Linked DNA regions of Tribolium castaneum. The protein of the gene in region 2 purifies or fractionates together with the protein of the main gene of each other region. This does not show direct contact. Links are inferred from orthologs where the notes say so. Each region holds a gene or a part of one and is shown on either strand. Other genes may lie near its edges.

Region 1 (4,174 bases), on a different chromosome or scaffold from region 2:
AAACGAAATTGAAGCCGAAAAAGTCAAAATTCAGTAAATACATCGTTCAAAGCATTAGACACGTTTTTGAACTGGAATTTTTGTTTTTTTTAACAAGTATTTTTTTAACGAGTATTTGACGGTATTTTTGCGGTAAAAACTAAATTTAAAAAAGAAATTCTTTGAAACTAGTTAAAAAAATTATCAAATTTGATCGAAAATAAGCAAAATGTAATCAAAAATAAACCAAAATAATTTAAAATCTAGCCAAAAGTAATATTATTTGACATTTCTCAATTCGGTAATACGTCCATAGACTAAAATTTCTAGGTATTTTTTAACATCTTAACTTATTTCACCCGATTTAGCTAGTTTTTAAGCAAAATTAAATCAAAAATAAACCGAAAAACTCAAAATTTAGTCTAAAATATCTTTCAGACCATTAGAAAATGTTATTGAACAAAAGTTTTATTTTTTTTAAACAAACCGAAAAATCACTAACTACATCAAAAATTACATTATTTTAGTCTTTATTTCGAGTATTTGACCGTATTTTTACATTGTATACTGATATTTTTTAAAAATTTGATTGAAAATAAGCAAAATTTAATCAAAAATAAACAGAAAAAACCTAAAATCTAGGCAAAGACCGAAAAAGTCACGTCATAGATTATCTTTTTCTAAAATTATTAATCATTGTTTTGAATTTTTTGAATTTCGAACTAAAGAATTTTTTGAAAAAATTCCTTAAAAGCTTTCTCAAAGAAAAGGTAAAAATAATATTATTTAGTTCGATTTTTGGTCAAAAACAAAGCCTTTAGGTATGTTTTTTAATCCAAAAAAAGGTTTTTTTTGTGAGATTTTTATTAAACGAAGAGAATCACAAATTAGAACAGATTAAACTAAAATTACATGCTTTTTTCGATATTTCGAAAAATAGAATCTTCTTTAAAAATCTTTAAAAAATCATCTAAATTGATGTTATTTTAACTTGTTCCACTCAATTTAGATCATTTTGGAGCAAAATTTCGTCAAAAATAAGGCGAAAAACTTACCTTTATTATTTTGATTTTAATAATTTTTAAAACAGTCTTTTGCAACATTTCGCTAAGATAGACGAAAAAACACTCTATCTAATAAACAATTATATTACTGTTGTCCTTTATTAGTGTTTTTACGAATGTTTTTTTCGCGAAATATCGTTTAAATTTCAACAAAATTAAATTAAAACTAAAACAAAATTTGTAAATACGTTGAAAATAACATGATTTTGAGCGTTTTTTAACAAAAAGCGCAAATATCATGTAAAATAACGATAAAAACTAAGATCTTGTTAAGAAATTCACAAAAAAAACTAACTTTTTGAATTCCAATCTGGTGAATTAATTTTTTTCGTGTTGGCACCGCCTTGCCACTTTTCACGTGTGGTTATTCGAGTTGGCTGATGCAATAATTCCTCAGCGATTTTAAGTGATTTTTCCGGAAAATTCGCAGTTTTAGCCGTTTTCCCCACCGAAGCCAAGTTTCCTGTTTAGTGAAAAGCGCCCCAAAAGTGTGAAAATCATGGCAGAGGACGACGCCGTGAGTAAAACAGGCCCAATCTGTCAGGGCCAAAAGTAAGGTTATGTGCACGATTTTATCGTAAATAAATTTCCAGATTTTCGATCCTTCGCTCAAAAAGAAAAAAAAGAAGAAGAAGACCGCGTTCGATATCGAGGCGGCGTTGGCCGAGGGCGGGAACGACGCGCAAGACGCCGCCCCCGAGCCCGACACTGCCAAGGAGGACGAGCAAGATGATGCAAATGTTGATATAGATTTGGACTTCACCAAGAAGAAAAAGAAGAAGAAGAAGCCCTTCACGGCCGAGGATTTGGACGCCGTTGCTGGGGAGGGGAAGGACGAGGGGAACGAAGGGGGGAATCAGGATGAGGGGGCTCTTGATGATAACTTCGACCTGGAAGTGGACTTCAGTAAAACCAAGAAGAAAAAGAAGAAGAAGAATCTGGGGGATCTGATCGCAGAGGCTGATGAGAAGCATGAAGACAAGGAAAATGGTAATTATTTTTTTGAGGTTTTTTGGGGATTATTTTCTTGTTTGTCTAACATGCTGCACTTTAGTTGAGCGAATTCCGGAATCAGGTAACGTTTTTTTCATTAAAAATACGTACAACTGTTGTAATTATTGTGCAATTTCGTAAAAAAGAATGATGGTATTAGTGTAGCTCTTACTTTTTTTATCTTTTCGAAATATCAATTTATTAAAAGAAAATTAAAAAAAAAGATTTAACTCTTAAGAGAGTTTTTTAATTTTTTTTTGGTAAATATTTATTGATAATTATATACAATAAGTTTGTTTGTCTATAGGTAAAAATTCATATATTTTTTTTTTTCTGAAAATTTAATAAAAACGTACTATTTTTGGCTTTTGTTAGGGCGGATTTAACAAAAATTTCGTATTTCTTGAGCGTTTAACAACCCAAAAAAATTTATTGTTTTTTTTTCTCTCAATTATGGTTATTTTTGCATTTTTTAAGCCTTTGAGTTTTTATTTCGAGAATGTTTTTTTCCGAATGAGTCAACTAGTAGTTGATTTTAGCTAGTTTAGGTGACTAGATAAAAAAAACTCACTTTTAGCAAGATTTAGTTCAAATAACTCAAAATATTACACATTTTAGTCGGAAATGACTTATAATTATTGTGCATTTTTGTAAAAGAGCTTAAATGATGGTATTAGTGTTGCTCTTAGTGTTTTTTATATTTTCTCAAAATATATATTAAAAGAAAATTAAAAGGTAAAGATTTAACTAAGAGAAAAAAAAACAAAAATGATCAATAGATTTTTTAAATATTTTTCCCCTGTTTGGTTTTTTATTGAAAAATGTATAAGTCGAATATTTTTGTCTACTGGGTTAAAAGTTCATTTTTTTTGTTTTATTTTTTATTTGAGTTAAACTCACTTTTTACAAAAATTTTTTCAAATATTTAAAAAAAATACATGTTTAAGTTGGAAATAACGTATTTTTTTCGGGCGTTTATGGAGGTTTTTTTGTTAACAAATGTTTTTTTTTTAAGATTTTGCTTGGAATTGCCAATAAACTAATTATGCATTTGGCCAAAAATTCGGATATTCTTGCTTTTTTGAACACTAAAGTCTCTAAGATTTGTTTGTTTGTTTTTGAAAAAACACTTATTATTACCAAAAATTTCGTTCAATAAATCAATTAGGTAATTAAATTAATATTAATTAGGTAAAAAAACAAGTAATACCATCATTCACATGAGTGTTGATTTATTTTTTTAACTGAAATTTTTGTTATTTAGTGGATGAAAACTCAGCCGTTTGGATGACCTCCGATCGTGATTACACCTACGATGAGCTTTTGAAACGTGCCTTTGAAATAATGCGCGATAAAAATCCCGATATGGCCGCTGGCAAAAAACAAAAATTCGTTATGAGACCACCACAAGTCGTCCGAATTGGTACTAAAAAATCGTCATTTGCCAATTTTACAGAAATCTGTAAAATGCTCCATCGTCAACCGAAACATTTACTCGATTTTCTATTGGCTGAATTAGGTACAAGCGGTTCAGTGGACGGCAACAGTCAATTGATAATCAAAGGTCGCTTCCAACAGAAACAAATCGAAAATGTTTTAAGAAGGTTAGTTGCTCGTGCCTTCGGCCCTCGTCACAAATTTTTCTGTTATTTTTTTCTACAGGTATATTAAAGAGTACGTCACGTGTCACACGTGTCGTTCCCCCGATACAATTCTCCAGAAGGACACTCGATTATTCTTTTTACAATGCGAAACATGTGGTTCCAGATGTTCAGTAGCAAGTATCAAGTCAGGTTTCCAGGCTGTTACCTCAAAACGTGCTGCAATAAGAGCGAAAACAGCCTAGATGGTAGGTTAGAGGCGCGCAATATTTATACTTATTTTTAATTCAAAGTAGGTGTTGTGTACACTTTGTACGTAATTAGCCAATTGTTGAATAAACAAGATTGTGACACAAGAAAAATTATTTCAAACCGAACTAAACTACAATTTCCTAAGTCTAACATTTCCTAATTTAACAAAAAACACAACGAAAAAAATTGTATCAAAGTTACACCCGTTTTTATGTTTTAAAAAAATGTAACGTTATGGCCAAATTTGAATGTTCCTGTTGTCGGAATGAATGGAAATTTTGCATG
Region 2 (3,606 bases):
TTGCTAAAAATTAAGATATACAATATCTATAGTGAAAAATTTTATTTACTAAAAAAAATTCATAACTCAAAAACTAAAAGTCGTAGAGCAATGCGGTTTGTTCCATTGAATTCAGCGGCTCATTTTGCGTATAAAACCATCTTTTAACAAGATGTAAACTTTTAAAGTTTTTTGCTAAAAATTAAGATAGGCAATATTTATAGTGAAAAATTTTATTTACCAAAAAAAATTCATAACTCAAAAACTAAAAGTCGTAGAGCAATGCGGTTTGTTCCATTGAATTCAGCGGCTCATTTTGCGTATAAAACCATCTTTTAACAAGATGTAAACTTTTAAAGTTTTTTGCTAAAAATTAAGATAGGCAATATCTATAGTGAAAAATTTTATTTGCCAAAAAAAATTCATAACTCAAAAACTAAAAGTCGTAGAGCAATGCGGTTTGTTCTATTGAATTCAGCGGCTCATTTTGCGTATAAAACCATCTTTTAACAAGATGTGAACTTTTAAAGTTTTTTGCTAAAAATTAAGATATACAATATCTATAGTGAAAAATTTTGTTTACTAAAAAAAATTCATAACTCAAAAACTAAACGTCGTAGAGCAATGCGGTTTGTTCCATTGAATTCAGCGGCTCATTTTGCGTATAAAACCATCTTTTAACAAGATGTAACCTTTTAAAGTTTTTTGCTAAAAATTAAGATAGGCAATATCTATAGTGAAAAATTTTATTTACCAAAAAAAATTCATAACTCAAAAACTAAAAGTCGTAGAGCAATGCGGTTTGTTCCATTGAATTCAGCGGCTCATTTTGCGTATAAAACCATCTTTTAACAAGATGTAAACTTTTAAAGTTTTTTGCTAAAAATTAAGATAGGCAATATCTATAGTGAAAAATTTTATTTACCAAAATAATTCATAACTCAAAAACTAAAAGTCGTAGAGCAATGCGGTTTGTTCCATTGAATTCAGCGGCTCATTTTGCGTATAAAACCATCTTTTAACAAGATGTAAACTTTTAAAGTTTTCAAATTCATTCATTTTTACAGTCGAAGGGCCTATCGAAGGGCTTAATTTCCTGCAAAAATAAAGAAAATTGCAGGATATAAAGGGGGTGAAAAAAAATCAGTTTGCATTGCTTGAATATGAGAATAAAAAATGCAGAAATTAAATACAGTTAAGTTTTAATTTATAATAGAAACACATTAGAATGGTCAGGAGATGTTCTACAAATGTGATATGCAAGTCAGCGTAACAGCTTATTGATGTTTTTATAATGATTTACGATTATTTTGATAGTTTTCCTGGTGTGAACTTGACTGTAGAAAACGAGAATGATGGGGATATGGTGCTAGCTCCATGCGCGCAGCGATTGTCTGTCTGGTCGACTGTAATGTCCAGGAATCCGTACACAAGCGCGACATCTTTCGAGTACGTCTTGTTATTATTGTTATTGTTATCATTTTTTTGTGTAACTGATAAAAATGAAGTGAATGAAATAATTCATCTTTGGACACTGGACGTATCAAGCGCCAAAAATTGACCATCCGAAACAGTGAGGTTATGAGTCACACCATGTTGGTTTGTATTCAAATAAAAAATAAAATCGTTTTCTACCGCTTCCGTTACAGGAATCGCAAGATTTGAAACTTTTCTCGATTCATTTTTGGTACGAAAAGTTCCAATCTGTCGCGCTCAAAACAATTCTAATCGAAATCCCGCCGATTTTGTTGCAAAAACTCCAGTCAGATGAGTCCGATGTAAACATCGAAGAAGTATTTTCCGTTGTCGGTCTGGCCCTCTTTCTGATACCTTTTTTACTTTTTTAGATCTGTCCGCACGAATTCGTGACTGAGGTAAAAAATGCAATTAACACTTTAGATAAGAACGTTTTTGTTAAAAACAACTGGCATGCACCTATGGTAGGGTTTCAATTAATTATTCAACCACACAGGGGTGTTTCAGGATGCTAAAATGTTCAGTTTTGGGAACCAGTTGAAAGTTACAAATTTAGATGACTTGTCGTTGTTCCTCTCCGCCTCAAATATTATTTCAGAGGACTTTTCAACCCAAAGCAGTATTCCCTTTTATATAGCGTTAAAGCCCTGGAAAAGTATTCACCCCGCTAGCGAATTCCGATGCATTGTCGTCAACAAAGTCTTAAGAGGTACAAAAGTCACAAAAAACACGAATTTTGATTGATTTTTTTAGGTATAACGCCTAGAGATTGGCCAACGTATTATGCCCATTTCAAAGATGAGGGTCCTGTGATTATTGAGACTCTTAGCAATTTTTATAAGGAAAATATTGCGGACGTGTTCCCAAAAAGACACTGTAATTTTAGGTCTTATGTTATAACTTGTAACCCAAACGATGTTTCATTTTAGATACTTTCGACGTGATAATATCGTTTCCGGACCAACCATGTATTATTGATTTTGGGCCATTAAACAGTAAAACGAATTTATATGCATTTTCTTGGAAAGAAATTTCTTCTCTGTTTGATAAGGTAACTACGAAATACAGTGAGTTTAAAGTTACGCATAAAATTCTTGTTATTGTCTTATTTCATATATTTATTGTAATATTTCAAAATAAGCAAAAAACAATCCTTTATAAAATAAAGCCTTTTACATGTAATTAAACAATATTTTTTATGTTATTTTCTTTTTTCTACGATTTTTTTTTAATTCATTATTTAAATTTTTTTTATACCAGAAAGATAAGAGTATACTGCCAAAAACAGTAACCAAAAATATCGGTTACCATCTAAAAAAATTAGAACTGGTGACACAATTCAGTAACCTGTGACGTCAGAAATGTTACCATGGTGTCAAAATGTAGCATTTACCAAAATAAAATCGACCTGTTTGAGGATTTTTTATGCCTTACTTTAACTCACGCTATGTATGTAAAGCCAATCAAAATTTCTTCATTTATCTCTTTAGGAAGTACCAGAAGAAGTCGCTCCAATCTTCAGATATTTGGACTCTGATATTGGCATCATGTCAAGAACTGATGCAATTTACAAATTTGCGAACGCATTTACTTAAGTCTTGTTGTCAAACAGCGATTTTTTTTAATTGAATAAAAGTTTTTTTTCTTAAAAGATTGTATTTTTTATTTAACGAGAGTATAAAAATCTTTAGTAGGGTTGAGAGAAATAAAAGTACACAGTTACTGAAAGTAATTTTTATTAAGAACTCAGAACGTCAAATAAAATTAAAAAAACCCTAAACCAAGCACTCAGTTTTTAAAAAAGTGGGTAATGCTTATCACATTAACGCCTGGTATTTCAGAACTTGGGTAAAATCTTTGGCTTTTTGGCAAAACCGCACTCAAATACGTCAAACCAGGAAAGAAATTGATAACGAAAATATCTTTGGTTTAAACAGTCAACTGAAATACCGGGCGATAATCTGATTATGGTAATTTTAAAGCAATGTAAGCAATTTTCGCAAGCAACAAGAGGAACTTTGGTAACCACCACAAAAACAAAAAAAAATCGCATGCTGCAGATAAAATTAAAACAAGTACTTTCCCAACGTTTAATAATCAAAACGAAATATTAACTGTGTTAATGTAACTTAAACCACTTACTTCTCCTTC

Evidence for each region. Proteins that work in one complex are often made in the same cells at the same time.
Region 1: the proteins of cell division cycle protein 123 homolog (region 2) and eIF2beta purify together in Homo sapiens (affinity purification with mass spectrometry; 4 studies listed by BioGRID and IntAct, counting the BioPlex papers as one, with this or other methods). This does not show direct contact. The link is inferred for Tribolium castaneum from reciprocal best matches to the Homo sapiens genes CDC123 and EIF2S2.

Annotation. Positions count from the first base shown.
Region 1 is NC_087394.1:663,802-667,975, forward strand, and holds eIF2beta (eukaryotic translation initiation factor 2 subunit 2), read left to right. Parts: upstream 1-1,374; 5' UTR 1,375-1,542; coding exon 1,543-1,560; intron 1,561-1,636; coding exon 1,637-2,033; intron 2,034-2,097; coding exon 2,098-2,118; intron 2,119-3,300; coding exon 3,301-3,640; intron 3,641-3,698; coding exon 3,699-3,882; 3' UTR 3,883-3,999; downstream 4,000-4,174.
Region 2 is NC_087403.1:2,024,987-2,028,592, reverse strand, and holds cell division cycle protein 123 homolog, read left to right. Parts: upstream 1-1,358; 5' UTR 1,359-1,560; coding exon 1,561-1,578; intron 1,579-1,628; coding exon 1,629-1,772; intron 1,773-1,826; coding exon 1,827-1,919; intron 1,920-1,962; coding exon 1,963-2,164; intron 2,165-2,208; coding exon 2,209-2,331; intron 2,332-2,384; coding exon 2,385-2,506; intron 2,507-2,945; coding exon 2,946-3,050; 3' UTR 3,051-3,106; downstream 3,107-3,606. UniProt on the Homo sapiens protein: ATP-dependent protein-folding chaperone for the eIF2 complex. Binds to the gamma subunit of the eIF2 complex which allows the subunit to assemble with the alpha and beta subunits.